Arabidopsis thaliana: one gene and its partners. The protein of the gene in region 1 interacts with the protein of each later gene in a pairwise test. Each region holds a gene or a part of one and is shown in the gene's direction. Other genes may lie near its edges. The genes, in order: CRK2, ROP10, AT2G43420 and TH7.

Evidence for each region.
Region 2: the proteins of CRK2 (region 1) and ROP10 interact in a protein complementation assay, tested with the Arabidopsis thaliana proteins (one large-scale study listed by BioGRID).
Region 3: the proteins of CRK2 (region 1) and AT2G43420 interact in a protein complementation assay, tested with the Arabidopsis thaliana proteins (one large-scale study listed by BioGRID).
Region 4: the proteins of CRK2 (region 1) and TH7 interact in a protein complementation assay, tested with the Arabidopsis thaliana proteins (one large-scale study listed by BioGRID).

The regions. Positions count from the first base shown.
Region 1 is NC_003070.9:26,582,499-26,590,879, reverse strand, and holds CRK2 (cysteine-rich RLK (RECEPTOR-like protein kinase) 2), read left to right. Parts: upstream 1-3,251; 5' UTR 3,252-3,545; coding exon 3,546-4,314; intron 4,315-4,388; coding exon 4,389-4,502; intron 4,503-4,583; coding exon 4,584-4,723; intron 4,724-4,810; coding exon 4,811-5,021; intron 5,022-5,115; coding exon 5,116-5,350; intron 5,351-5,432; coding exon 5,433-5,583; intron 5,584-5,662; coding exon 5,663-5,992; 3' UTR 5,993-6,151; downstream 6,152-8,381. Other genes in the region: CRK3 (cysteine-rich RLK (RECEPTOR-like protein kinase) 3), read left to right, coding at 1-368, 449-562, 706-845, 940-1,150, 1,244-1,478, 1,568-1,712, 1,798-2,130.
Region 2 is NC_003074.8:17,728,033-17,735,635, forward strand, and holds ROP10 (RHO-related protein from plants 10), read left to right. Parts: upstream 1-3,304; 5' UTR 3,305-3,528; coding exon 3,529-3,633; intron 3,634-3,958; coding exon 3,959-4,046; intron 4,047-4,244; coding exon 4,245-4,354; intron 4,355-4,447; coding exon 4,448-4,511; intron 4,512-4,606; coding exon 4,607-4,671; intron 4,672-4,772; coding exon 4,773-4,838; coding exon of another isoform or gene 4,839-4,880; exon of another isoform or gene 4,881-4,939; coding exon 4,940-5,043; intron 5,044-5,184; coding exon 5,185-5,209; 3' UTR 5,210-5,481; downstream 5,482-7,603. Other genes in the region: protein SUO, read right to left, coding at 6,238-7,603. UniProt on the Arabidopsis thaliana protein: Acts as a negative regulator of abscisic acid (ABA) responses.
Region 3 is NC_003071.7:18,029,034-18,038,152, reverse strand, and holds AT2G43420 (3-beta hydroxysteroid dehydrogenase/isomerase family protein), read left to right. Parts: upstream 1-2,970; 5' UTR 2,971-3,216; coding exon 3,217-3,463; intron 3,464-3,613; coding exon 3,614-3,703; intron 3,704-3,780; coding exon 3,781-3,914; intron 3,915-4,000; coding exon 4,001-4,171; intron 4,172-4,313; coding exon 4,314-4,430; intron 4,431-4,525; coding exon 4,526-4,605; intron 4,606-5,010; coding exon 5,011-5,203; intron 5,204-5,291; coding exon 5,292-5,394; intron 5,395-5,762; coding exon 5,763-5,937; intron 5,938-6,092; coding exon 6,093-6,249; intron 6,250-6,329; coding exon 6,330-6,396; intron 6,397-6,508; coding exon 6,509-6,660; 3' UTR 6,661-6,885; downstream 6,886-9,119. Other genes in the region: GLX2-1 (glyoxalase 2-1), read left to right, coding at 89-151, 532-714, 812-1,015, 1,319-1,442, 1,687-1,787, 2,106-2,180, 2,253-2,351, 2,438-2,584; FPA (RNA binding protein), read left to right, coding at 7,164-7,433, 8,805-9,047.
Region 4 is NC_003070.9:21,950,455-21,956,751, reverse strand, and holds TH7 (thioredoxin H-type 7), read left to right. Parts: upstream 1-3,271; 5' UTR 3,272-3,359; coding exon 3,360-3,494; intron 3,495-3,657; coding exon 3,658-3,780; intron 3,781-3,861; coding exon 3,862-3,993; 3' UTR 3,994-4,155; downstream 4,156-6,297. Other genes in the region: AT1G59725 (DNAJ heat shock family protein), read right to left, coding at 4,542-4,983, 5,461-6,014. UniProt on the Arabidopsis thaliana protein: Probable thiol-disulfide oxidoreductase that may be involved in the redox regulation of a number of cytosolic enzymes.

The DNA.
Region 1 (8,381 bases):
TAACGAGACGTTAAGCTTGCAAGACCGGACAGTTTGTGCTCCAAAGGAGATTACCGGAGTAAACCGGACGGTATTTCGGGATAACGCTGCAGAGTTGGTTAAGAACATGAGTGTGGAGGCGGTGAGAAATGGTGGATTCTATGCTGGTTTTGTGGATAGACATAACGTGACGGTTCATGGTCTGGCTCAGTGTTGGGAGACTCTTAATAGAAGTGGTTGTGTTGAGTGTTTGAGTAAAGCTTCAGTGAGGATTGGTTCTTGTTTGGTTAATGAAGAAGGTCGAGTTCTTAGTGCTGGTTGCTATATGAGGTTTTCTACTCAAAAGTTTTATAACAATTCTGGAAATTCTACATCAGATGGTAATGGTGGTAAGTAGAATAAGCTTGAAATATGATTTAAATTTAGTATATGTTTGTAACATTTATTTAGCAACATTCTTGTTGATCAGGTCATAACCATTTGGGTGTGATTTTGGCGGTGACATCTTCGGTTGTGGCTTTTGTTCTGTTGGTCTCTGCCGCTGGTTTCTTGCTTAAAAAGAGACACGCCAAGAAGCAAAGAGGTTTGTTCCATAAAGAATTAGTTAAGATTTATGTTCCAGAAATAGCTTAGTTTTCAAGATTAGTCATAGAGTTTGAGTGGTTATAATAGTGAAGTCTTGATCTTAACAGATATTTGTGTGTGTGTGTGTGTAATGTAATGTAGAGAAGAAGCAACTAGGGTCATTATTCATGCTTGCGAACAAATCTAATCTCTGTTTCTCCTATGAGAATCTCGAGAGGGCTACCGATTACTTCAGCGACAAAAATAAGTTAGGACAAGGAGGATCTGGCTCTGTCTATAAGGTAAGTTCTGTTCTTATTATACATTTTCTAGAGTTTCATGTTGGAATGTTCCTACTTCTCAATTGGTTAACTCTTTGCCCTTTTTGTGGAGTAGGGAGTTCTTACTAATGGTAAGACTGTTGCAGTAAAGAGACTGTTCTTCAACACAAAGCAATGGGTGGATCATTTCTTCAACGAAGTTAATCTAATAAGCCAAGTAGACCACAAGAACCTTGTTAAGCTCTTGGGATGCAGCATAACTGGACCAGAGAGCCTTCTGGTCTATGAATACATTGCAAATCAAAGCCTCCACGACTATCTTTTCGGTTTGTTTTTGTCAATCCTAAACCTTTTACTACAGTTACCATGTCTTGATGGATCTTTTATTGACTTGTTCTTGTTGCTTTGTTTTGGTTCAGTAAGAAAAGATGTTCAACCGTTGAATTGGGCAAAGAGATTCAAGATTATACTTGGTACAGCAGAAGGAATGGCGTATCTTCACGAGGAGTCAAATCTTAGAATCATACATAGAGATATTAAGCTGAGTAATATCCTTTTGGAAGATGATTTTACTCCAAGAATTGCTGATTTTGGATTGGCTAGATTGTTCCCAGAGGACAAGACTCATATCAGCACTGCCATCGCCGGTACACTGTAAAGTCTCAAAACTTATCTTTGTAACTTTAATATCTCTCTCTACCGTTTCTTGTGTTGTTTCTGAAGATTCTTACTTGTGGAAACAGAGGCTACATGGCACCAGAATATGTAGTACGAGGAAAACTAACTGAGAAAGCAGACGTTTATAGTTTTGGAGTTCTTATGATTGAAGTTATAACCGGAAAACGTAACAATGCCTTCGTACAAGACGCTGGTTCGATCCTACAATCGGTAAACTAACTCTCTACAAGTAGTTCAAACATTTTCTTGATTTTAGATCAAATCCTTTTTCTTGAATCTTGAAAACATATTTTAGGTATGGAGTCTGTACAGAACAAGCAATGTGGAAGAGGCAGTGGATCCAATCTTAGGTGATAACTTCAACAAGATAGAAGCGTCACGGCTACTTCAAATTGGGCTTCTCTGTGTTCAAGCAGCGTTTGATCAGCGGCCTGCGATGTCTGTGGTTGTGAAAATGATGAAAGGGAGTTTGGAGATTCATACGCCGACGCAACCACCGTTTCTGAATCCAGGAAGTGTAGTAGAGATGAGAAAGATGATGATGACTCCCACGACGAATCAGTCTAATTCTTCAGGATCAAGGAGTGACTACATAACCGAGGGTTCGAGTTTCTTTGAACCTAGATGAGGTTTTAGATCGTGTTAGATATATCAGTATCCTTTCGTGTGGATTCTGAATCATCTTGTGTCATATGTACAAAAATTGAGATGCCAATTAATCGTGTGTTAGCTAGGAACTGAGGGTTACTTATGTGCCACGACAATGTCATAGAAGCTAGGAAGTGAACAATGTAGAGCTTACATGACGGGGACAGATTCCGGTTTAGCCTCGGTTTTGATTGTAGTGATTCGGTTTACGGTTCAGTAGTTTTATTTTGTGTGTTAATTTTGAGTAGCTTTGTATATTAGTAAGCGGTTTTTGTGTTTGTTCTCGTTTTAACTTTACAAAAAGAGAAAGAGTAAATGTCATATTTAAATAGAAAAATGCAACCACAAATGCAAAGAAATTCGAGTAAAACCAAATAATGCCATAAGGATATTTACCTAAGAATCAAAATATGAAACATATTAAATGTACACAAGAAAAAAATCAAATCACTAAAAATTCACTAAATTTATTACCGCAAAGTTTGGATCATGATCTCCTAATTTTTGCACAAGTGGATTCGAATCAAGGACTTTTTATCAGTGTTTTTGTTTTCTTTCAAGGAAGCCATAGGAGACTACTAGATAGAAACACATATACTACATATGTCTTTATTATAGCCAACTAGATTTAACATTTTTAGAATTGAATGTCCAACTACTTCTCATTTTTCTTTGCAATTGATCTTGAATAAAACTTTGACCATGGCAACATGTAAATGGTATTTTGTTATATATATTTTTATTATTTGTACAACTTTTATTGTACTATACCAACTAGGCCTACTAAATCAACCCAACAAATTGACAAAAAAAAAATCAACCCAACAAACCTATTTCTTTATTTAAAGTAGTCTAACGTCACTTTATCCATTTTCTTGAATGTCATCTTACTAAACACTACGCATATGTGACGTTTTCTTTTTTCTTTAACTAATCAGAAAATTGAATTTTTCATGATACCGGTAAAGAGATTTATCCAATTAAACCGAACCGGCTCCACATAAGATAAGCTCTATTAATTATTAGTCCACTGGTTTTTAGGTTTATGAAAACGACAAATATTTGAATGAAGACAACGACTTCAACAACATGATCGAGCTGGTTTGGTTTCCAAGTGTGAATTCAAGACTAAGAAGAAATCCAACAATCTCCATTATCAATTTTTTTTATTAACTTTTTGACTAAACCAGTAGAGAGAGAGAGAGAAAGACAGCAAATTTGGTTGACTCTAACAAACCAATATCATCAAAGTCAAGCAGTTGAAAATTCTTCAATTTCATCATCTCCAATTCTTAATCTCTCTGCTTCTTCTTTCTTCACAACTTGAAACAGAACACAAAACCCTTGATGAGGGAATAAAAAAAGGAGATCTCTTTCTCAATCAAACAAAACAAAATGAAGAAAGAACCTGTCCATATCCTTCCTCTGTACCTTCCATGTCTCTTGATGTTTCTTCTTTCATCACTCCGTCAAATCACCGGAGACGCAAGGGCTAGAGCCGTTAAAGTCACTTGCTCACCTTTGCTTGAGCACAACGAAACCGCTTATGTCCCAAATTTCGTAGCCACAATGGAGAAAATCAGCACACAAGTACAAACTTCCGGTTTTGGAGTTGCTCTCACCGGTACAGGACCAGACGCTAACTATGGTCTTGCGCAGTGCTATGGTGATCTTCCTTTAAACGATTGTGTACTCTGTTACGCGGAAGCAAGGACGATGCTTCCGCAGTGTTATCCTCAGAACGGAGGTAGAATCTTTCTTGATGGATGTTTTATGAGAGCTGAGAATTATAGTTTCTATAATGAATACAAAGGACCTGAAGATAGCATCGTATGTGGAAACACGACGAGAAAGAATAAGACTTTTGGTGATGCGGTGAGACAAGGGCTGAGAAATGCTGTTACTGAGGCTTCTGGGACTGGAGGGTACGCTCGTGCGTCTGCAAAGGCGGGTGAATCTGAATCTGAATCAGCGTTTGTGTTGGCGAATTGTTGGAGAACTTTGAGTCCTGATTCTTGTAAACAGTGTTTGGAGAATGCCTCTGCTTCTGTGGTTAAAGGATGTTTGCCATGGTCAGAAGGACGTGCGCTTCACACTGGATGTTTCCTTCGGTACTCTGATCAAGATTTCTTGAATAAGATACCAAGAAACGGAAGATCAAGAGGTAACACAATAAAAAGATTCATGCTTTCTATAGAATCTCATTCGCTTGATGGTCATAAGTAATTGTTTTTGCAGGCTCTGTGGTAGTGATTGTGGTGTCAGTACTTAGCTCTGTGGTTGTCTTCATGATTGGAGTAGCAGTAAGTGTTTATATCTGCAAACGTCGGACCATAAAGAGGAAGAGAAGAGGTAAGATTAGTTTCTTGATTTGTGATGAATTGGTTTAAGAAGGATTGAGTGTTTTTAACCGAGATCTTTGGTGCTTAACAGGATCAAAAGATGTTGAGAAAATGGCGAAAACACTAAAAGACAGTAGCTTGAATTTCAAATACTCAACACTAGAGAAAGCCACAGGTTCTTTTGACAACGCGAACAAGCTTGGACAAGGCGGATTTGGAACTGTCTATAAGGTATGTGTGTGTATGATCATGTCTCTCTTTCTATACCTTCCTGTAAAGCAAATGAGTGATATAGTGGTATCTCTCTGGCTTGTTTAGGGGGTTCTTCCAGACGGAAGAGATATCGCTGTGAAGCGGTTATTCTTTAACAACAGACATAGAGCAACCGATTTCTACAATGAAGTCAACATGATCAGCACTGTTGAACATAAGAACCTTGTTAGGCTGCTTGGTTGCAGCTGCTCAGGACCAGAGAGTCTCCTTGTCTATGAATACCTTCAGAACAAGAGCCTTGATCGATTCATCTTTGGTAACTACTACTAATAATACTATATGATGAGTTTTTATTGTTGAATCTTGAATGCAGCAGCACACTAAACCTGTCTTCATTATTACTTTTGCAGACGTGAACAGAGGGAAAACATTAGACTGGCAGAGAAGATACACGATCATCGTTGGAACCGCTGAAGGATTGGTGTATCTGCATGAGCAGTCGTCTGTGAAAATTATTCACAGAGACATAAAAGCAAGTAATATTCTGCTAGATTCAAAGCTTCAAGCTAAAATCGCCGATTTTGGTCTGGCGAGATCATTCCAGGACGATAAGAGCCATATTAGCACTGCCATTGCAGGGACCTTGTAAGTATATATTCAGAAAAATGTACCATTTCTTCAAAAAGATATGAATGTTTGAGCTGATCCAATACTTGTGAAACTGCAGAGGTTATATGGCTCCGGAGTACTTAGCACATGGTCAGCTAACAGAGATGGTAGACGTTTACAGCTTTGGAGTTCTTGTACTAGAGATTGTAACTGGAAAACAGAACACCAAAAGCAAAATGTCAGATTACTCAGACAGTTTGATCACAGAGGTAAGTTAGACATATTTTGTCTATGGGTCTGCAGGTTTCACTTCTCAAACTAATTGTGGTGTTATGTTTTTTATTGAAGGCATGGAAGCATTTTCAGTCAGGAGAGTTGGAGAAAATATATGATCCAAACCTCGATTGGAAGAGTCAGTATGACAGTCACATCATCAAGAAAGAGATAGCAAGAGTTGTTCAAATAGGGCTATTGTGCACTCAAGAGATCCCTTCGCTAAGACCACCGATGTCTAAGTTATTACATATGCTAAAGAACAAAGAGGAGGTCTTGCCATTGCCGAGTAATCCTCCGTTTATGGATGAAAGAGTCATGGAACTTCGAGATGGTTCTGATGGTGATTCAGCTGGTTGTGCATCTCTTGCCACTGTCTCACAAAGTTCCTTTTATGGTAGATGAGCTTTGAAGAAGTGTATAAGAAGAAGAGAATACAAAATCTTTGATCTTTGAGCAGAAACTAAAATTTTGTGTATAAACCAGTGAGAGAAGCTAGATAGTATAGGTAAGTTATATCTTATGTATCATACTTGATAACAAAAAAAAAGTACTCAATAATTCAAGCTCTAGGTGCGATTTCTTCAACCAACCCATAGCTTCAAACATTTATCTTTAATAGTTTGCAAGCTTATAAACGGACTTGCGAGTTTGCAAGAGAGAAGACAACAGAAACAAAGAATGAAATGTCTGAGAATTTCCCAACATATGCCATCTTCAAAAAAATGTTATCCTCATCCACACCAGACTTGCAAACATATAAGATTGGTGGTTCAATGCAGCAGTTTAAGGTAGGTACTCGAGCTCAAGCTTTGTTGTTGTTTGTGCTCCTGCTTTCTTGTTGTGATCTCAGAACCAGGCTGCTTCTATCTGGACACATAGATCAGAACTTAGAAACTATGTGCTCCTGCTTTCTTGTACGGGATCTCAGAACCAGGCGGGCTTCTCTCTGGACAAATAGAGCAGCATTGGTAGGTTGATGTCAACGTGTGTTGTATTTGTCAAGTCCTCAGAAACTGGCTTCTGCTCCACAAACCAAGACTACCTGTAGCAACCACCACAACATATGTTAGGAACAGACAAATTTTTGTATACAAAGAAACCATTTAGAATAAAAGTAGCAATGGAGTTGAAATTATTCAACTTCTTAAATTGATCATCATTCATGTTCTCTCTTACCTTTTGATATATAATATTTTGTGAGCGAAAAAGATGATTCTTTGTAAACGTTATATCGAAAAAAAGTTTCAACCAAAACGTAACTTCCTTTTTGGTTAGATTGATATAATTATTCGTAACTGGAAATCGAATCTAATTTAGATTTCCTCTACAATATCAAATCCCCAACGGTTAGATTAACAATAAACCAAAAAAAAACCATCCTTATAAATACACACACTTAGATCACGCATTCTCTTCTTCTTCATTCATGAGAAATCAAAATACGCTCTATTCTCACGTCCTTCTTCTTCGAGAAACCAAAATCATTCATCGTTCCCATCTTTTCATACCTGTTCGCTTGATGATGATCCATGTAATCCTCGAGTTCATCATCTCAGAATCGTAATTGATTCTCTCACGTCCTCTCTTTCTTGACCTAATTGAGAAGGAAGAGATCGGGGGCAGTGAAAGCGAGGAGCACCTAAGAAGACGATTCCAGGACCTAATCTAGAAGGAAGAGATCGGGAATCCAAGTACGATCAACTTTTGATCAAAGACAGAGGAAATTATACAATAGACAGAGGAAGATTCCGGCGAAACTCCAAATTTCTCCGGTTTAACACACCAAACGGGGGAAGATGAATTGCGATGATAGGAGACGACAAGTATAGAGAAGAGTCAAAAACGAATGAAGAAGACGGAGAATTTCGGAGGAGTTGCAACAAAGACGCAGCAGCAACTAAGGGCTTTTCAGACGAGTTCACGGTGGTCTTCGAATGGGCTTTTTTCATTGGGCTTTCTTTGCTACAAAATCCAACAAGGTATTATTTTTCTTCAATTATTATTTTTTTTTCTTTTCTCTAAAAAATATTTTTTAGTAAAATTATAATTAAATAATAATAGTTTTCACTAAAAATTTAGAAACAATTTAAAACTTAAACTTTAAGATAAATAATTCTTAACTTTTAACTAAAACCATGTATTTCACTATTATTTTTTTAAAATTAGTTTAAGTGTTAAATTTTAAAAACGTCGGGAACTAACCGCGCCTAGGCATCCCGTCCTTAATTGGTCTGTAAGTCTTGAAGTGTTCGAAGTTCGGTAATGTTTTCACGTAATATAGATTTGACACTTCAACTCATTTTTAAAAAATAATAATGATTTTCACTAAAAATTTAAAACCAATTCAAAACTTAAACCTTAAGATAAATAATTAATAATTTTTAGTTAAAACCATGTTAATTTTACTAATACTTTTTAAAAATTAGTTTAAGTGGTAGATGAGGCTTGAATAAGTGTATAAGAAAAACAAAATACAAATCGTTGAGCACAAACTAAAATCTTGTTATAAACCACTGAGAGAAGCTAGATAGTATAGGTAAGTTATCTTATGTATCATACTTGGTAACAAAAAAGAAGTACTCAATAATTCCAGCCCTAGGTGCAATTTCTTCAACCCACCCAAGCTTCAAACATTTATCTTTACCACCCCCAGTAACTTCCCACATCCTTACTGTACGATCTTGAGAACTGCCAAGACAGATATTTGAATAGCAAGCAACAATTGATCAATTAGAGACATTGATACAAGTAGTATAAGTAGGGCTGGGCATAAAATCCGAAATCCAAAAAC
Region 2 (7,603 bases), on another chromosome or scaffold:
TCACGCGTGGCCTGTTCGTCACCAGAGACCGTGTGACGACGAGCCGGTTCTGTAAAACGAGTCGGGTCGATGGTTCTGTGAATCGGGTCAGATTCCAGTGTTGGAATTGGAAAAAATAACATTTGGATACAGTCCACTGGGTTCACTTCTAACGTTCACGTCAGAAACAGCATCAAATCCGTTTTGGGCCTTTTTGGTTAACGTATTTCTCGTTTAATTTTTGCTTTGTCTTACTGAAACTTTTTTTTGTTTTATACTGAAAATTTTCATTTATAGCTTTATGCTTTTTGCCAACCATTCTCTGGGGGTTTGTCTCTGCGAATTTATTAATGCATACATTTTTCGATTACCCCTGAATAAAATTTAAAATCTGGATGATGAGCATCAATTCTAACTGTTACAGGTTGGCTTGCAACAGCCTTGAGAAGGGCTGCCTCGTTGAATGGATCTACAAATGCGAATTGATCGATGGTTACCCTCACGCCTTGTGCCTTTGAAGGGTCGCATTCTCATTTGATAGCTGTGTAAGGATAAAAAAAATGAAGATTCTTGCCTTGATTCTGTTTTCACTTAGCAGCATCCTCCAAAATATATGTGGATTCGATTATAACGAAACAGAACTAGAGAGTGAGGAGAGTTTATTAAAGTTATATAACAGGTGGGCGAGCCACCATCACGTTTCTATGAAACTCAAGCCAAAAGAAAATAGATTCTAAGTCTTCCGAAATAACATGAAAAATGACCTAATAAAACTTAGAATCTATTTTCTTTTGTTTCGAACTTCATAGGAACGTGATGGTGGCTCGTCCACCTGTTGTATAGCTTTAATAAACTCTCCTCACTCTCTAGTTCTGTTTCGTTATAATCGAATCCACAAACATTTTGAAGGGTGCTAAGTGAAAACAAAATCAAGACAAGAATCTTCATTTTTTTTTGCTTTGATTGCTTTTAATGGAAGTTGAAAGTGTAAGAAAGTGGAGGCTTGGAGATCTAAATAGGCAAGAGAAGCGATATATATATAGCTTCTTGCTTTCGGTTGGTTAATTATTAAGTTCATCACAAATGCATTGAAATGTGTGTGATCAACTTACCATAAATTAAAGTAACATCATGCAAATAAGATGATTAGGAATGATCGCACATTCGCACCTGTTTTTTCATTGAAAGATATTACAATTTCGGTTATTAGCTTATTTTCATGTGATCTTCATAAAGAGTATTCCATTAAAATCTGCTATCTATCATTAATTAACAAATAACAAACTCGTCTTGTCTATTAACAAATCATCACGTAGATTACTATATATGCACTAGTTTATTATCTCAATTTGATGGATCATTTGCCTTGTCTCTGATGATACAGCCATACAAGGCCAAAGACATGGGCCTTTTGGGTCTATTGTTTTTTTTGGCAGCACGATAGTGTGTAACCAATTTTATCAAACCCACAAATCAGATATGAAAACCCAATTTAGCTTGGATACTTTTGTTTTGAAATAACAAAATTATACTTTACTAAGATTGATGAATAAGTTTGATAGCAGATGTTACAGAAAAAAAGAAGGAAAAGTTTGGTTGCTATTTTCCAAAACTTAAAAGTCCCCAATTCAGAGTTAATCCTAATTCCTATATATATATATATCTTTCTCTCTTCTATAACTACATATGTGTTTAACCAAGTTATGTTCATTTCTCCTAGCTAGAACCAGGTAAAATTTGTTTTATTGAAATAATCTATACAATTAATTGGTAATGAGTAATGCCAGAATCTTACAAAAAAAATGATGGCAAAATATAACAGTTTTTAATGCTAAACAAAATAAGAAGGATCAACCGATAAAGAAAAAGAAATAACGTACTATAATCAATGCTTCTTAAGCATGTGATTAGCTTTTAGTATCCTTTTAATCCTACTATATTATTTGGGAAATACATTTTAAATGTAACCTTAATTTTTGTAATTAATTACATGACAATACCATTAGAAAAATTTAATCAAAAACAAAATCTTTTAATGACATCATTAAGGTTACCAAAATCATTTAACGACAATATTCATTTCTTAATTATAGGGCTTGTTGAATCTAAAGACGGGTCATCAAAGATTTTCTAAACTAAAGCAAAATATACCGAATATTCAAATATCTTTCTGTTACCAAATTATAAACAAATAAGTTCGTAAAACAATTTAATATTTTATATACGAAATCAATAAATCTTAATCACATAAAAATTTGTACAAAAAAAAAGTATTCAACAATTAAAAATTTATCAAATCTCTGTGTTATATAAGTTTTGATATTATATTCGAATAAAGTGTAATATACCTTTTTAATTTGTATTCTTTAACTAATTTAAGCTAACTAATATATTTGCTAATCTTATACCTATTAAAACCGACTATCGTTTCTTATCTCTATAGTATTTTTGCAAGATTTTTTTGGTGGATTTGGATAAAAGTGCATTCGGGTCATATGGTACATTCCCCTATTAAATAAATATGGTGCACTCCTATGTTATTAGCTAAAATGTTTAGAATTCAGAGTCATATCATAAATAAAATTAATATGAATAAAATAAATGGCTTTTTGGCAAGACGGATTTAGAAGGACGGGTTTTTGAATCAACATTAATAAAAAAGTAAAATATAATTAATCCACCGTTTCAATACGGGTAAAATCTTTAATTTATTATTTTTTAAGACCACTAATATTAAACATATCAAATTATCCTAATTTAGAAAATATTATATAAAACCAAAAATGTTATGTGATATGTATAATGTTACTATATATAAAATTAAACTATAAAATATAAATGTATTAGAGAATGATACAATTTGCAAAACTTTTATATATAATAAATAATTCTTAAATTTTAAAAATTACGACTTAAAAAAAAACTCACGGGACGGGTAAAGAAATTACAGAACGAGTTTTATTTTGGAATTCGGTTATATGGTGGATGTATTTGAATCAATATTTATAAAATTATAAAATATTATTAATATGCTGTTTTAATAAGGGTTAAAACTTCAGTTTTTTAACAATTGTCTTATAGATTCGTGGCATAGCGTTACTTAATAACAATTATAAACCGTAAAATATAAATATTTTATAAAAATAAAATTTGCAAGTTTTAATATATATTACCTTTAAAAAATTAATCGTCTCGCGGTATACCACGGGTTAAAATCTAATACATTTGTAAAAGCGATAAATATGAAACGATTTAGAAAAGTCATGTGGATTAGATGGATATATCATGTGAGCCCCTCTTCTTTCCCTCTCTTCAGTCTTCAAACCAAAAAACGAAAGAGACAAAAATACAAAATTGAAACTTTGAAAATATTGAAAGAAAAGTGAAAAAAAAGAGAGTTTAGTTTTTTTAATCATATGGGGTTTATATAGTTTATTACCACACTTCCTCATGTTAATCACTTCATTTATCTCTCTATTATCTCTCTCACAATCTCTCTGGTTTTTGGGCGTTTCTTCGTTGAAAGTTGTTTGCTTTTGGTGAGTTAGAATGGCTTCGAGTGCTTCAAAATTCATCAAATGTGTGACTGTTGGAGATGGTGCCGTTGGAAAAACTTGTATGCTCATCTGCTACACTAGCAACAAATTCCCTACTGTAAGTTTAAAATTTGATCAAGTAAATCACAGTTTCGCTGATTTTTCATCAAATTGTTCTTTCGGGCATCTCCAATTTCGTCACTTTTAGTTGAATATACTTCTGGGTCTGTCAAATTTCAACTCTTTCACCGAGAATTTTAGCATGGTATTTCAAAGTTAGCTCCTTTTTTAGGGATTGTGCAAAAATAATCCTTTTTTGGAGATTCTGAAAAATCTTACATTGTAAAGTTAGTGGCTTTCTTGATTCACCAGTGTTTCCTCTTACTCTATTGCGCATTTGTTGTTCTCGTGAAGTTAAAGATTTGCTTGATGGATTGTATCAGGACTACATACCAACAGTTTTTGACAACTTTAGTGTTAATGTTGTGGTTGAAGGCATCACTGTGAACTTAGGCCTTTGGGACACTGCCGGTAAGTAACATTTCTGTATCCCTCTCTTGAATATCTCAGAATAACCAAGTTCACTAATGTTATGTGGTTCTAATCTTTCTAACATCTAGCAAGTTTGCTTTTGATTTGGGATTCTTAGATAGAGAACTTTATAGGGAGTGTTGAAGATTAGTGACTGTTAAGAGTTTTATGATTATGAGTACCCTTTCATGTTTGCAGGGCAAGAAGACTATAACAGACTAAGGCCTTTAAGTTACAGAGGAGCAGATGTTTTTGTGTTGGCTTTCTCATTGATCAGCCGAGCTAGCTATGAGAATGTGTTTAAAAAGGTTTGTGGAAATTGGATTCATTGTATTTCTTACTGGGAAAACAAAGAATGAAATGTGAATTTCTGATGTTTTTGAAGCGTTTATTTTGTTCAGTGGATCCCTGAACTCCAACACTTTGCACCAGGAGTCCCCATTGTGCTTGTTGGTACCAAAATGGGTAAGATAGCTATAAGAGTGGAGCCAACATATTTCCTTGTGTAATGCTTGAGAATCACATATATGTAATGTTTCTTACAATGTTCCGTTATCTAGATCTTCGTGAAGATAGACATTACTTGTCTGATCATCCTGGACTGTCCCCGGTAACTACATCACAGGTGTGCTTTTTCAACCTGTAGAAACCGAAAAGATTGTTGTGACATTCTCTAGACTCTCTCTTCTCTAGGTTTTATATGATTTAATCATTCATGTGTTACAGGGAGAGGAACTCCGCAAGCATATCGGAGCGACTTATTACATTGAATGTAGCTCAAAAACTCAACAGGTACACTTGTTCATGTGTGTTTGGAAACTTAGGAGTCATTAGTGTTAGGTGACTCTTTACTTGCAAACTATATGCTTTTCTTTGGTTCATGGCTTTTGCAGAATGTGAAAGCCGTATTTGATGCTGCTATTAAAGTAGTAATTAAACCAGCAGTGAAACAAAAGGAGAAGAAGAAGAAGCAGAAGCCTCGCAGCGGATGTCTCTCGTAAGTTCAATAATCTTCACTCTTTTTAATATATAACTAAGAAATTATGTAATACTAGAATTTGGTTATGCAACCTTTAGCTTCTTCATACAGTTTTGTTTGTTTGTGTAATGATTATAGATTGGCTTCTCTATTGTGCAGAAACATTCTGTGTGGGAAGAATTGATGAGTCAATTCCATCTGATGATTGTTCACTTCTTTTTTTTTCTTTTCTTTTCTAATTGGCCAGTTTGTGATTCTGATAAGTCGGAATTACATAGACTCTGGCAGAGATGAGCCTCAATTAGTAGCTTCTTCGATTCTGTTTGTATATGTGACCCTGATGTTTGTTTGTTTCGATTTGGTTTGACCCTTATAGAATTGTTATAGCCATTTTGTAGCCAAAACTTGGAGTAGTTCACGACTTAACGTGGTTAACACTTGCTTCTTTCGAAAAAAGGTGAATCCTTAATCACATATTCGAATTTATTTGGTCCTATTATGAGATCCAAGACCAAACGACAAAAGCGTGACAAGTAAGAAGAAGCCTGTAAATTTCAAACAGAACCAGCACAAGAAGTAATAAATCTACAAACTGGAAAAAGAAAGATAAAAAGAAGTAACTAATCTTGTGTCTATAATACAACCCCCATCACCTAACGCACACATGTAAAGCCACAATGCGAAAGACTTTTTTTTTTATCATTTTGAACACACTCAAAAGCCACCAACATTTGTTTTATCGCTAGTTTTTTGAGCCGGTGTATAGAGATACACACATGCATGAAAAATGACCTAAAAGTGTGTTTTCACCTTTTAAAACTCTTTGTGGGGAGGTGGTGATGCGGGTCTCTCGCTGAGAACCTTGTTGATGACTCTTCTGAAAGAGAATGGCCACTCCGGTGAATTTAGGACTGTTTTTGGAAGATCTACATGATGGTGAAACCAAGAGGTCAGGTTTGTGTTCTTAAAAAGGTTGAGACCACTGTGAAGTCGCAAATTGACTCACCCATGCCTCATTTGTACAGAGCAGGCCAGCCAATGAAGCCTTGTGGCATCACATTCACTCTCATCTCTTAGTAACTAGCAGAGTAAAAATGTAACTGAAACATTAGTAAGAGAGAGAAAAACAAAAAGAGAGGTCATAAAACACTAAGGTTTGTGGATTTCGAGGGCTTACAAGCTCATGTGGCCTACTGAGATTCTGAGCTACTGTTATTGCCATGAGGACTGCCTATATCCATCCCATCCTCCTTCCGGTTCTTTCCTCTTCAGAACACCACCTGACATTTGATACATTCTTGCTTGATCCTCCTTCAAAGGTAAGGAAGCAGATGAGGATAATTGCCTTGCCACAAGTGTTGATTCGTCTCTTCCCTCTGTTTCATGACCTCCAGGACCAGAATTTAAGTCAAGTCCTGACCTAAACCATTTCGCGCCATTGTCCAAAACACCGCCATTGCTACCACCGTTTGGGAGGCCAACTATATAAGGTCTTGGGTAATTAGACGGAACTGGAACTCCAGGACCCAATATTTGAGAGTTGACACCGGGGAAGCAAGCTCTCCCGCTTGAAGAAGAATCCATGTGTGCTGTAGAAGCACCAGGGAAATTCGCTGAGGTAACGGGGAAGCTGTTTCCAAAAGGAAAGACAGGATACTGGAACGTTGTGGACTGAAATGGCATGGCTGGAGACGACGACAAAACAGGACCCCTGTACCCTTCAGGGGTAAATGAGGAAACACCAGTTGTTGGACCCAACATTCTCTGTGGGCCACGAGTGGCAATCATTGGAAAAGGCTGATCACCTCTCTCAGGCATAATTGGAGGCATGCTCACAGCTGAATAAGCGTTAGCAGCAGGAAACCAAGTTGAGAAACTAGCCATGTTTTCGCCATTCACTCGAATTCCAGAGAGAGATGGTTGTGATGGCAAGCCACTTCGTGAATGTTGATTTAGAACCATAGATGGCTCAACAGCTGCATCATCACCCACAGGTCCATCATTTAAATCAAAATCTCTACGACCACCAGTCGATGGTAATTTAACCTGCTGAAAAGATGAATCTAGCCGATGACTACTGTTCATTGTGTAGCTGATCATATCAGTTGAATCATCAACTTTGTTTAGATCAAGATCAAGGCCTCCAGAAGAATGATCAAGGGCGGAACCCATGACCCCAGAACGTACTTGGTCAAAACTATTGGTGATATCAGATGTACAATTTGTGGGATTTCCAGATCTTTGGGAAGCCAAATCTTCAAGGACTCTCTCGTCAGGTACATTCAAGTCAAAATCCAGAAACGTCCTTGTCTGTTTGCCAGCAGAAGTAGATGCATCAGATGTAGAGGTGTTGTTAATGCTCAGTAACACATCCTGAGGTTTTCTTGGCTCAGCTGGGCGGAAGGCACTAGTGGCAGCAGATCCTCTCCAACCAACAGCCCCTTTATTTCTCAACAGATCTTCAGGTGGAACAAACGGACCTTTGGCAGCAGCAGCAACAGTAATAGATGCACGAGTTCCACTAGATACAGGAGCCACCGGAAAAGGTAAGGTCTTAACTGGTTGTAGAGGAGTAGGC
Region 3 (9,119 bases), on another chromosome or scaffold:
TATCTCTCAAAGGAGGCCTCTTCAAAGGTACCACAATCATATCCTCTCGTTTCTATCTGAAGAATCAGAGAGAAGAGATATATAGAGGATGCCTGTGATCTCCAAAGCTTCATCTACCACCACCAATTCATCGATTCCTTCGTGTTCTAGGGTTTAATCTCTCTTCCTCTTTTTTACTCTTCTCTTTGATTCAGTCTTTGCTTTTGATAATTCCGATCTGGTTTTGTGGTTGGTACCAGATTTAGCCTTTTTTGAGTTTATTCAGATTTTCACTATACCGATCTTCGTTTGTGTGCTGGAAAATTGTTTCTGTGGATTCCTTTGAATGTGTGCTAGTGTTACTGATTCGATCATAAGGCTCAATTACTATCTGCTATTGACTGGTTTGGTGAAACTGGCGGTTGAATTATCTATTATAAGCTTCTATGGGTTTTTTTTTTTTGTCAACTGTGTTTAGTAGTCTTTGTTTGGCTATCTTATAGTACTATTTTGTGTCAGATTATGATTTGTTGATTGAATTTCATGAAACAGATTGGAGGTCAGCTTTGTGTGTGGCCTGGTTTGAGACAACTTTGCCTCAGGAAAAGCTTATTATACGGAGTAATGTGGTTATTATCCATGCCACTGAAAACATTGCGTGGAGCTAGAAAAACTCTTAAGATTACTCACTTTTGTAGCATTTCCAACATGCCATCCTCATTAAAAATCGAACTGGTTAGTATGCTTTTCATCTTGAATCTACTGGTTGAAACAACTCTGTAACAATCTGCTGAAGATATTATTAACGATCTATTTTACTGAGATGTTTCAGGTGCCCTGCAGTAAGGACAACTATGCTTATCTGTTGCACGATGAAGACACCGGAACAGTTGGAGTCGTTGATCCTTCTGAGGCTGCACCTGTTATAGAAGCATTGAGCAGGAAGAATTGGAATTTAACTTACATTTTGAATACTCATCATCATGATGATCACATTGGGGGGAATGCTGAATTGAAAGAAAGGTATGGCGCAAAGGTAAGAGGATACTATTTTCTGTTTAAAACTGTATGACCTTGTTTCTTGTGTTGTTTCTGCTCTTTGCGCAAGTTAGCCCTCTTTTTATTTTGTTTCCTTGGAGTGTCTCTTGCCTCTGATAGCTGTGAAACATTGAGCTCTACAATACAATGGTTTGGTTTTGAGATGTCGTAAAGTATTAGTCTTACCAGAAAAAATGGTTTTTTGGACCTTTTTGTTTTGCACCTTTGTCGAGTTGTTCTTTTCGTTTTTGCTTCTTTTATATATACTCAAGTGTTTTTATGTGACTTATGTTGCCGACAGGTGATTGGATCAGCTGTAGATAAAGATCGGATTCCTGGAATTGACATACTTCTGAAGGATAGTGATAAGTGGATGTTTGCTGGCCATGAGGTTCGGATACTTGACACTCCTGGCCATACACAAGGTTTGTAGCTGCCATAACCTCTACTGTAAAATACTAAGAACACATCTATACAGTCAAATATTGCCAACGTTAGAAACCTTTGGTGGATCACATATTAGTATCTTATTTGTCATTCTAATTTGTTATCCTCAATACATTACTGTGTAACTGCTCTCCTTTTTTATCGTTCTAGTGTAGTACAACTAGTAATTAATGTATACTTGGTGCCATGTTTTATCACTTAACTGTACTTATTCTCAAGCAGGCCATATTAGCTTCTACTTTCCCGGGTCAGCGACAATATTCACAGGAGACCTGATATATAGCTTATCCTGTGGTACCCTTTCAGAAGGTACCCCTGAGCAGGTAACATCAATTTCAAAAAGCAATATTTCAACCTTCTCGACCCTTGCACTGTTATGATTATTTTCTTGTGGCAAAAATTGTGCCAAGTGATTTGTGGTTTTCTAAATCATGTTTCTTTTTCAACCTTCATATCTTTTTACTGTTATGGTTACTTTCTTGTGGCAAACTGTGCTGAGTCAAATGGTATAGACTTTATGGAGAGATCACTTGGGACTTGGGAGTACTCTAATAACCGTACATTGTAGTTTCTTTCACAGAAGCAAACTTATTGTGCTCTGTCCTTTTTAACGAGAAAACCTTTTTTGCCTTATGACTCAGATGCTTTCATCACTCCAAAAGATCGTGTCTCTACCAGACGATACAAATATATACTGCGGCCGTGAAAACACAGCAGTAAGTTCCACGCACATAAATACTCTTAATTCACATTGTTCAACTCTCTTTTATATCTCCTCCATGATACAGGGCAATCTCAAGTTTGCTCTATCCGTAGAACCAAAGAATGAAACTCTTCAGTCCTATGCAACTCGAGTCGCCCATCTTCGCAGCCAGGGGCTCCCATCGGTAAAACCTCTTATCTCTTCCCTATCTCCTCTTTCTCTCTAAACCTCTCTCTAGATTTCATTTACTTACGGATTTGTTGTCTGTAGATTCCAACGACTGTCAAGGTTGAGAAAGCGTGTAACCCATTCCTCAGAATATCGAGCAAAGATATCCGAAAATCTTTAAGCATTCCAGACTCAGCAACCGAAGCTGAAGCATTGCGTCGTATACAGAGAGCCAGAGATCGTTTCTGAAAACTTGGGTATATTTTCTTATTTGTATAGAAAAATTTGCAAGTCAATCATCAGCTGCAAAGATCAATATTTTATATGTTTTGGGCTTTCTTCAGTTATCATTTGAAGTTGTGTATTCAACACAAAAAAATCTAAATATTTAGTTTAAACTCAATTATTAAATTATGAGATTTTCAAGTGTAATGAATGCTTCAACATACATACACAAGTGTATAGATAGATACGGTTTAGTTTCTCTCTACAAGTGCTTACCAAATTTCTAACAATGGAAATCATATGTTTGGTGGATTGATGGAATTGGCTCACCAAACGTGAAAACGCAACCGTGCGTCTACGATTTAATATTAGCTTTACTAGATTTGTTTGTAACCAAGGAATAATTATACAGATAATTTACATAAATTAAGTCAAATCCATAGATTTATGGCAAAAAAGTGTGAATATTAAATTATAATTACACAGCCGAAGAATAAAGGAAAACGCTAAAAGGTTGCGCGAGTGGAGAGTCTGCCCGCCAAGCAACCCCTAGTATTCAGCTTTTTGTGCACTGATCCAACTCGACTCGGCCTTTTTCTCTGAGTTGACTCGACCGAGAAAAGGCGATAGAGCTGGGGTTTAATTCGGCGATAACAATGGACGAAGATTCCGTCCATGGCGATTCTCACCTCAAGACATGTGTCGTCCTCGGCGGACGAGGGTTCATTGGTCGATCGCTTGTCTCCAGATTGCTTCGTCTCGGAAACTGGACAGTCCGAGTCGCAGATTCCGGTCACACTCTCCATCTTGATGAATCCGATTCGCTCCTCGAGGATGCTCTCTCCTCCGGCCGCGCTTCTTATCACTGCGTCGATGTTCGTGATAAACCTCAGATCGTTAAAGGTTTTCCTCTTATTTCCTGTTGCACTTTGTTAGATATGACATTGATGGATCGGTTTTTGGTATCTAGAAAATGCTATGGGGGAGTGTTTGGCTATTTGAGATTTTCGGGTTCTGATTTGAGTTTTGGTGTGACTGTTTTGTTCCTTGCAGTTACCGAGGGTTCCTATGTTGTATTTTACATGGGAGCTACTGATTTACGTTCCCATGATTACTTTGACTGCTACAAGGTTATAGTTCAAGGTAAAGTTCTTAGTCACTTCAAGATGGTTTACCATTATATTAGTTAAACTTGGGTGGTTAATCGATTTCTCGTATAGGTACAAGAAATGTGATTTCTGCCTGTCGTGAATCTGGAGTCAGAAAACTTATCTACAACAGTACAGCTGATGTTGTTTTTGATGGTTCCCAACCTATACGTGATGGTGATGAATCCTTGAGACGTCCTTTGAAGGTAATCCTTGAGCATGTTTGTTTAGTTGGTTTTTGTCGTTGGTCTTTTTCAGAGATGATATCTGTTTTGCTCTGATTCTCTTGCAGTTCCAATCTATGTTGACAGACTTCAAAGCTCAAGCAGAAGCGTTGATCAAATTGGCTAACAACCGAGATGGTCTCTTAACTTGTGCACTTCGCTCTAGCATTGTATTTGGACCTGGTGACACAGAGTTTGTACCTTTTTTGGTGAATCTAGCCAAGTCCGGATATGCAAAGGTCTTACTATTAGTTCATCCCATTGTTGCGTTTTTGCGTCTACGTTTATTATCTTATTATACCTGGTAGTATTCCTTGAGCTTGATGCATTCTTAGTTTTCCTTTTTTGGAGGAATGACTGTCTTAGTTTTTAAAATTTCAGTTTATACTCGGGAGTGGTGAAAATATCTCTGATTTCACTTACTCGGAGAACGTTTCTCATGCACATATTTGCGCCGTTAAAGCATTAGATTCACAGATGGAGTTTGTGGCTGGAAAGGTAACCTCTTTGAGTCAAAGTGTATTTGCCAAATCACTCCTGAAAGCGCATGAACTTTATATGTGATGAATTTTTACTGTGCCGACTTTATGTAGGAATTTTTTATCACAAACCTCAAGCCGGTCAGATTTTGGGACTTTGTAAGCCATATAGTTGAAGGTCTGGGATACCCAAGGTAAATAAGCATCCGAACAGTTTTTGATACAATGAAACTTGCTGTGAACTCCTTTTATCTTTCTGTTTCCTGATTATCAATGTAGCATGGGAAAAAGGCTCCTCAGAACTTCTGAACCTACCTTGAATGTTCCCTTCTTAAAGCAAAAGATCTTAATTTTCTGTTGATAGATGTCCTGGAGACATGTCTAGAAGAACCGTTTCGAGAACAGCCATATTCAATTAGTTTTTTTAGATATAAACTATCTATACATGGTGATTCGCTGATATTTAGTATTTTATACATGGTCGTATATGTTTCCTTCTCCTATGTCTTAAATATTGATCATTTTGAAAAGTTTTAGATCCTTAGAGCTAACTTTCTGGTTTACCTGTTTTGATATTTTTTTTTCCTCTTTAATTGCAGACCATCCATTAAACTTCCTGTTCGGCTGGTTTTGTATGTTTTCTCACTTCTTAAGTGGACACATGAAAAGGAGGGCCTTGGGAGTAATTATGACACAGCACATCAGTATGCTCTGTTAGCTTCATCAACGAGAACTTTTAACTGCAATGCAGCTAAGAAGCATCTTGGTTACACACCTGTTGTGACACTTGAAGTGAGTTTGTTGGATAGTATTTTGGCTTTTTGCATATTCAGCTGCTTAGTACCTTCCTTGGATTTATTAGCTCTTGTTGGATTTGTAGGATGGTATTGCATCAACGCTTCAATGGTTCTCTCGGGATCTTGAGAAGTCTGATGACACAATCATTCAATCTACTGCAGATCAGCTTCTTGGTTGTGGGAAAGGTTAGAACCATCTCGCTATTAACAATTATAATGCCTTTTTGAAGTGTTCTTGGCTAAGTATTCAGTTGTATTGCTTGAAGTCCGCATCTCATCTAGCTATGGATATGATGATGCATGTTCACAAGGCTTAACCTGGAAAGAATCTATCTCTATTTTCAACTTAGATTTGTTTGCTTCTAGATGTCTAGAACATGCTGAAGTATCTGCTTGGTTAATTTACATCTTCTTCCAGTCCATGTAATTTCATGCGAGTTCCAACTTTATTTCATGCACATATAAACAAACTCAAAGCGAATCTGGTCAATGCAAGCTTTTAATATTAATCTCTTTAAACTGACTTAGCTTTTCATCTCTATGTTCTCATGCAGTTGCAGACATCTTGCTGTGGAGAAATGAGAAGAAAACCTTCGTTTCTTTTCTTGTCCTAAACTTGTTTTATTACTGGTTCTTCTTTTCTGGAAACACATTTACTTCATCTGCAGCCCAACTTCTGTTTATATTTGCTGTTGCTCTCTATGGAGTCTCTTTTGTGCCGTCAAAGATGTAAGTATTGGTTCCAGAACTTTACCATTATAGAAGGCAGTGAAAATAAGTTGTGATACCAAAATTGTCCTATCAAAGGATGATGCACCCATGTATATATATTTCACCTTTGAAATCTATATGCAACTAAGTGACAGATTGATTTATTTTGACAGTTTCGGGTTTCAAGTCAACAAAATACCCCCATGGAGATTTGAGATCTCCGAATCCGCTGTGAGAGATCTTAGTAGTGATATCGTAGTTGTCTGGAATCAAGGAGTTCGCAGTTTTAAATCCTTAAGCAGTGGAGGAGACTGGATCAAGTTCTTCAAGGTACAATTCTACTCTTTATGCTCACCAAACATGAAAAATATCTCATTGCTCTCGTTTCCTAAAACAAAACATAAAAACAGATTGCAGGATCACTGTATCTCCTCAAACTGATTGTATCCCGTTCATTGGCAGCATTTCTTTTCACAGGTACTCGAACAAAGCTTTTGTTTTCACACTTCATAAACATGATTAACAACTTCATAAACATGATTAACAACTTCTTTATCCATAACATTTTCTCTACGCTTTGCTTGGACAGTTATGTCGTTCTCATTCACCGGTTTCTTCATCTACGAGCAATACGAGCTTGAGCTCTACCACCTAGCCCGGATATTCGTCGAATGCTTAACATTTATTAAAAGGATGGTGATACCTGTTTCTGATGCTTCATCTAAACCAATGTTCATGTGAAGCTTCCAAAGTCCTCCACTAAACGAACACCAACAATCCCAGAGACTAATTGCAGTTATTAGATGTCTTATGTACAAACATTATGCTATCAGGATGTAATCTTCACTGAGAGGGGATGGATATATGATTATTTACGAATTTGCCATAACTACTATCAAAATGCACCGTTTTGATCCGGTTTCCAAAAAAAAAAGAAAAAAAAGGAAAGTATCCTTATATATCCTTTAAAAGCCGCCGCTTCGATATTCCCTGGCCTCTCTTTCTCTCACAATCTAATCTTCTTCGTCTTCAAACTCAATCTAGGGTTCTCTTCTCCTCTCTGTAGGTAGGATTTTGAACACCCAAATCTCTCATCGAATTTTTCTTGCTCAACGTATCATCGCACAATTCGTCTCTCGTTTTCCGTCACGTGGATAATCGAAATCTCATAATCCCAAAGGTAAAACAATCAATTCTGGGATTGGAATTTTGGATCCATAGGATCGTCAATTGAAACAATCCCGATGGCGTTATCTATGAAGCCATTCAGAGCCGATGATTCCGGTTTCCAGTCAAACAATCTTTGGGTCGGTAGCCTAACGCCGGAGACGACAGAGTCAGATCTGACCGAGTTGTTTGGAAGATACGGCGATATTGATAGAATCACGGTGTATTCTTCACGAGGCTTTGCGTTTATATACTACAGACATGTGGAGGAAGCAGTCGCAGCCAAAGAGGCTCTTCAAGGAGCAAATTTGAATGGAAGTCAAATTAAGATCGAATACGCACGACCGGTTTGTTCTTATCTATATCTTCGTTTGTTCTCTAACTTTGATTGTCTTTTGTCAACGATTATACTCTTTTTGCGAATTCATAGTCCAGGTTCACAAAACTTTGATGATGCTTGTTTAGTCCAAAAATTTCTTGTTGAATCTGTTTTTTTTTTCCTCATCGTACAAATCAAAGTCGAAACCTAGTTTTTTTCTATTATACGTCGTTAGCTTAAGGCGAAACCTGATCCGATCGAAACGTCTTTTCTCAAATTACTTTGGTTATATCGAACTCGCGCAAAGCCAAACCACAGAGAAGCTCTGCAAAATTTGATGTTAAAGCATATATAACTCTTAGCGAATGAGCTCTGCAAAAGAATACATCAAACACATGTTTACTCTCGTTTATGCGAAGAAGGTTTAATCCGATTGTCGTTTATCTGCAAACTTGTATCCGCGTTTAGCAGTCTGATTTCAGGTTCGCTTCAGATGTTAAATCTCACAAGCTTGAGTATGAATGTATTGCGTACTCCACTCGAAATTCGCAATGGTGAAAATTTGGAAGCGAGCAAACTCTATCATCGGCCAAACAGATAAGAAATTTTGGAGTTTAAAAGTTCAGTTTCCTGCAAAAATCAAACCGCGTGGAGAAATTTGTCTATGGCGGTACGTAGATATCAATAACTGCATCTGCGAAACAGAAAATTCTGGCAACCGTATCGTCCTAACTCCTAGTATCGCTGGCACATATCCATATCAGTGTGAGGGAGTTTTGGGCTTGTTTTGGCTCGATGCTTCAGGAAGACAAATTACGTGGTTGTTAAGGCGGCTAACTCTACCAATCAGAAACGCTTTATTCGAAGAACCATGTTTGTTCCTCAATTCCCATCCCTACGTACAATCTGGGCTTTCCCATTGTAGTTCCTTAGGAAGTTGACTTCTTCACAACCATTCTGGGATTGGTACAGTTGCAGTGGACAAGACAAATATTCATTTGCAGGCAGACTCAAATTTCAATGTCTTGCCGGCTTTGAGTACTTAAATGGAGTGTTCAGGGATTGGTTTATTTGGGACTCAGGCAATGGATAAAGACAGGAATGTTTTGCAGAAAGTATTAATGTCTTTCCGGCTTTGGGGACTACATACTTCTCCTACAGACAAAATCTGATGTTTAGGCAAGAGAAACTATTAACACTGATTTAATAGAGAAAGAGGAGATGGTTTCTCCTTGCGGCAATTTTATTTGTTTAGGAAAGCAATTGATATGAATTGGTGTCGTAGTGTAGTTGAAATTACTAGTTAGTTTGTGTGTTTAGTTTCCTTGATGTTTGATGCTTTATTCTTGGCAACCTATCTGGGTAGTATCGCCTTCTTATCGACCTTTTCTTGTTGCAGGCAAAACCTTGTAAGAGTCTATGGGTGGGTGGAATCGGCCCTAATGTCTCCAAGGATGACCTGGAGGAAGAGTTCAGCAAGTTTGGGAAAATCGAGGATTTTAGGTTTCTCAGAGAACGCAAGACAGCTTTCATTGATTATTATGAGATGGATGATGCTTTACAGGCTAAGAGCATGAATGGAAAGCCTATGGGTGGTAGCTTTTTGCGTGTTGATTTTCTCCGGTCACAAGCGCCAAAAAAAGTAAGCACTCTTGTGGCATTTGATTTTTACTTTTGAAAACGCTCCAGTAAACATTTTGTTTAGTTTCATAAT
Region 4 (6,297 bases), 4.6 Mb from region 1:
AACAAAAAAAAAAAGAGAAATTAATTGAGCTAGCAGTCAAAAGATTTATCAAATTTTTGAATTGCCATCAAGGCATCAAGTCAATAGACTGAAAAACTAATTGTTTAATAAAAAAGAGAATGTTAAGCGATACCAAATTAATACGAAACATCCAAAGTTATCAAAAATAAATATACGTATGCATCGAAAAATTCCATGAATATGTCATGTACGTATTCTTACGTAAGCATACACGTATACAGTGACTATAGAGATACGTGAATACTTATGCATGGGTAAATATAGTATATATAAATTACGTGCGCAATAAATCGATATATACCTCATATTTTCTGAAGTTATATATATATTTTACCTCATAAGTTTTGTTTTTTTCTACCTCATAAGTTGTAGTTGTGGACCTAAGGTTTTATTCTTTTTATACGTTTTAGAATCCATGAGAAAGCGAATGTTCAATCTACACCACACCAGTTGTTTTGTTTAAACCCAAACTTGATAGTGAAATGTTGGATACGTCATAAGCCAACATAAGCCATAAGAAAGGAATTTAACCTTTGGAAAAACATAGAAAAGGAGAATGTAACCAAAAAGTGGCATTTGTGATTGTGAGATTGGGTTGAACATTGTTGAAGTTATTTAATGGGGCTTTAGTAAAGTATGGGCTAGGGCCAAACTTGGACAATATAATCCAAATACGAGAGAGCTAAGTGGTGTGAAAGATTGAACAGACGAAATATGTTGTACCTTAAAATCCACAATGTTCTTCTTCATTATTTTAGATTAGGGTTAAATTTATCTCTCGCTGTGCAGTTATTAATTCTTTTGTTACTATGATGAGATACGTGAGTTAGCAACTTGATCCTACGTCCTGTTTGTTTTCAGTGTTTTTCGATGTGTTAGCGAAGTATGCTCTAGTGTATTTAGCCTAATTAGGTTTTCAACATAAGGTGGGCTAATTATTAGGATGCGTCTAATTTTGGCCAGCGATAAATGACAGTGACCAGCAGCAAAACTTAGTTCATGCTATTGTCGTTGTTTTAAATCTACCACATTTAATATTGCTACTTCTATAATCTTTATCCCCTGGCCTCAAAATAATGTCATCCAATCCAATTTCATTCATCCACACTTGATCTTTTGCATATCAGTCTACATATAGAGTCAAACATAAATTATTGATAGTTCCTTGAAAACAATCTTGAAACTCTTCATAATTTGTTTTTCAAACAAACATTTTGTGTATACTCCACAAATGGATTTTAATCTGTACCTCATTTTTTTCTATGTTCGTCGGCGTACCTAGTTCATCATATGCACCTACTTCCTTGCTTAGACTTCTCGTGGCGGCCACATCTTGTTTTTATCATAAGATGGTCATTTAGCTAAGAAGGTTTGTGATTCAAATCACCGTATATTTCAAGGAAAAAGCACTTGCACTTGTATTTAAGAATCGTTTCTTCTGCTCTTGTATCTTTTTCACACTTTCTGTTTGCAAAAATATAACTAACTTTATTGAACTATTATACAGAACTATTTTATAAGTAACTGTAATATATTGCTTAGTAGCAGAAAAGTAAATACAGAGGTATTGAACTAATTGTGTTACTCTTCCTACATAAATTAAAAAGAGAGAAAATCAACAATATAAAATTGTATGGATACGATTTCATGGAATAAAATTCTTTAGATTGTGGAAAAACTTATATTAGAATCTTTATAGATCGAGCTAGGAATAAAGAAATATGTGGGTAGCAGAACTCATGCAACCTTTAAGAAAGTCATGTGTAATATTATCGATAAATTATGATTAAAAAATGAATAAATTCAAAGGCAAAATCTAAATTAAAAACGATTTTCTACACATGTTTAAATATCTAAACGTGATTAGTTTACTTTATGAATTACCAGTACAATAAATATTTGAGAATTCTTTTAAGTCTTAAACTACACAATTCCAAAATTCCAAATACAGTAAAAGTAAGGGAAAGAAAGTCTTAGGAAGGGTACTTACAAATTTAAGAAGTATTCCTTAATGTTTTCAGTTTTCTAAAAAACTTGTTGTATTTCTTTGATAACGCCTTCATATATATATATATATAATATATATATATGCATATTTTGATCCCAACATATATATATTTAATGTTTTATAAAGCATACTTTGATGCAACATTTCTACAAGTTTTTTTTAGTTCTTATAAAACAGTGGTGTTTCAATTTTATTAGAAATCAGACCAAAAAATGGTTTCAAATTAATATTTGCAAATCGAGATCTTAAACCCCAACAATATGTTCTAAAATTTAAGATATTCGAGCATCACCGAACTGTATTTTTGAATCAGCATTCCTAGTTCCTTGAGAATGAGAATTATAAGAGGATGATGTGAAAGTTTATGGGCAAAAAGTTAAAGATGATGTTCGTGGCTACGACGTGCATTTCTTGTCCCCCAGTATCGAATAAATTGTTAATTTCAAACTCATTTTCGACAATGATTCCTATAAGTACTGAAATGGAATAAGAAGGACCTTGAGGAAGAATTTGATGACAGCTTCTTTTTAACACAAATCAATATTCTTACACACGGACACACCAAACAACATTACAAATTTACAATGACATGCATGGTCATTTTGCAAATTTTTTTCTCGTTTTATTCTAATCTAATTTCGTTCTGTAAAGTTTTATGTAAATGTAAATTAAAGATTTCAGTAAAGACATAAGAGTATCACCATCAATTAGGAAAAAAATAAAAATGAGTTCTCATTAGAAACTCTCCTGCCATGTGACATTTTTATTTTTATAGTAATTAATAGCATTAATATTATATAGGTATTAGATCCTTGAAGTGGATGGTGCATATATTATTTAAACAAAACAAATTTTAACTACTTTTAATTTATAGCGTTGACAATAACTAATTAATCTAAACTAATAAATCAAGTACCTAGGCTACCATTTTTTAATTAGAAAATCGATCCGCCGCGGATTGTTATCCACCCACAAAAATAAAAAATTCGTTTGCAAATGTGATAGGCAAGCTAGTTCCTTGCAACCAGCTATATTTTTATGTAGTGGAGAATATTTAACAACTAACTGGAATTTTAAAAACACAAAGCGAAACTAAATTGGTATAAGCTATATATTCTTGAAAAAATAAAAAAATCAACGGCTAGAACTAAAGAAGGATAGCAAATTGAATCATATTCCTTTGCATTTACTTATTTATTTATAACCAACAAATTAAGTTCTCCGATTAAAAGCTATATAATGCTCCTCCTTGTCTCTCTTCTTTGCATATCAGTATATCACTAGCAAATAAGTGAACACCATTTCTTCATACATACACATTCCGAAGATAATGGGTTCCAATGTTTCATCTGTGCATGATGTTCATTCATCAATGGAAATTACCAGTAATGGATTTGTTGTGGAAATCGAATCAAGAAGACAATGGAAATCTCTCTTTGATTCCATGAAAGGCTCAAACAAATTGGTATACATTACTCGAAAACTACCTAAAACGTATTAAATTTTTTTAACCAAACTTATAATGTTTGTTTTAAATCTTATACTATTTGTGTTTTCTAATTTTGTTTACAAGTAAATGACATGTTTTTTCTCTTAAACTAACTGAAAAAATTATTGTGGTTTTGAAGCTAGTAATTGATTTCACAGCTGTATGGTGTGGACCTTGTAAAGCAATGGAACCTAGAGTTAGGGAGATTGCTTCAAAGTACTCAGAAGCTGTGTTTGCTAGGGTTGATGTGGATAGGCTAATGGTAATTACTCTTTTTTTTTATTACTTGAAGAAGAATCATCTTATGGTTTCAAGACTAAGCTATAATTGGTATGTATTCCAGGATGTGGCTGGGACATATAGAGCTATTACACTTCCAGCTTTTGTTTTTGTGAAGAGAGGAGAAGAGATTGATAGGGTTGTTGGAGCCAAACCTGATGAGCTCGTGAAGAAGATTGAACAACATAGGGTTTAAGTTTTTTCTTTTCCCTTACAAAAAAATGATTATTATACTTTTGAATGTCTGTTCTGAATTGATTGTTTGAAGTTGGGTTTCTGGTTTGTTGTTTAATTTCTCAAAACAATATAAATAATAATGTCAAAAATGAAAACAATTAACAAAAATGTTGTAGTTATATTTGTATGAAATCTAATCACCCCAACGTAAGCAAAACAACATAACAATGGTAATGTGAGTATGGCGACTAAAAGAACTATACCATAAAAAAAAAAAAAAAAGAGTCCCATTCCAAGTATATGTTAAAATACTAAATGGAAAAAAACAAACGTTACATAACATTTTCGAAGAGCTTGTATGAAGTTGAGAGTTACATATATAACTTATGAAAGCAGAATAAATTAGATAACAACAAAGATAGCTTTTACAACAAAAAACAATCAATTCTGCTTACTATTTCGTGATCAAGATATGAGATCAAAAACGAAAACCGATCAATTCTGTATATGTATGTACACTGAATTGACCTTTTGAATTCAAGAGCTTTCTTGAAACTAGTTGCCAATTCAGCTACCACCAAGAACTCTCTTGAGATCTGTCTTCTGTTCCGATGTTAGCCTCGAGGGGAAACATATCTCAAAGTTGATTCTTAGATCTCCTCTCTTTGAACCTTCTTTAGAGATGGGCATTCCTTCACTAGGAATCACTATCTCCTGACCCGGTTTAACGATATCCAAAACCGGGATAGTCAGATTCCTCCCGTCTAGTGTTGTTAAGCTAAGAGTGATCCCTGTTAAAGCCTCCAAAAGCGAAACTTTCTTGTCTACAATAAGATCGTTACCGTCTCTTTTGTAAACCGAATGCGGTTTCTCATCTATAACAAAGATGAGATCTGCGGGAGTAACACCGGGTTCTTGGTTTCCTTTCTCTGGAAAAGTTATCTTAGTTCCTTTCTTCCATCCTGGTGTTATATCTATCTTCAAGATCTCTTCCACTGGCTTTGACTTTCTGATATCAAAACATGAATATATATTGATCACAACCAAAAAAGCAACTAGGCTTAGAAAAATCAAACGTAGCAACAAGAAAATAATTAGGTACATCAATCATCAAACAATATCAACATCACTAGAGATAAAAACGCAATTAAACAAAGGAAAATTGTCAAAAAAACAAAAAAAAAAACCAATAATAACAACAACATTAAACAGAGAAAAATAAAGAAAACTTATCAAAGAAAAATGTCAAAAACACAACAATTTGGATAATTGTTTCGTCTTGATTACAAAATTTTACCATCAAGATAAATCACAAAAACAGAGCATATATACAGAGGATTATCCATTGACTCATACAAGAAACCACAAAATAATTGGTCAACACTTTTCCAAATATAATTTACGTAATCACGAACTACTAATATAACGAACGAAACTGAATGAAAAAAGGCGATTTCATTTAGATCATGTGTTATGAAATACTAACCCAAGACCATCAGGAACAACGCGGGAAATCTTCATCTTCCTCCTCCCACCTTTATACAACTCCTCAAGAGTACAAGCCAATTTACTCTCAATCGCCGGAGCTTTCCTGTTCACCGGAGTTTTCCTATTCGTCTGACTTCCCGCCTCCGCACTTTTAAACCTCCCGCCACCGCCGACGCCACCATCAAAGACTTTCTCAGATGCACCGAAAAACTCAGCGAAAATATCTTCAGCATCACGTGGATAATACCTAAACCCTGCATTGTAATTATTGTTGTTACCAGAAGAGTAATTATGTTGTTGAGACGACGCCGTTGCTTCTGTCGCCGTAAGTCCGTCTTCACCATATTGATCATAGATCTGACGTTTGTTAGGATCGCTTAAAACATCGTAAGCTTCGGAGATTTGTTTGAACTTAGCTTCAGCTTCTTGCTTGATTGAAGTAGGGTTTTTGTCAGGGTGCCATTTCATTGCAAGTCTTCGATACGATTTCTTTAGATCGTCTTCCGTTGCGCTTGGATTCACGTTGAGTACATTGTAGTAATCAACCCCCATTGACAAGAACAGTTCGAAATCGCTACGAAGCTTCAGAGGACGTCGTTGAGAAAGACGAAGACAGAGTAATGAGAAGAATCAAAAATGAAGAGAAAGCGTGAGGAAGGAGATAATGAAGAAGAGAGAAGTGGTGGTGTACGTGTATGTAAGAAAGGTAGAAGAAGAACATGACAAGCATAATCTTTGAATACTTTAATTGGAACCTTTATTCTGTTTCAAATATTTGTTGTTATTTTATTTGTAATCTTATGTATTATATATTATAGATACAGATACATTTATA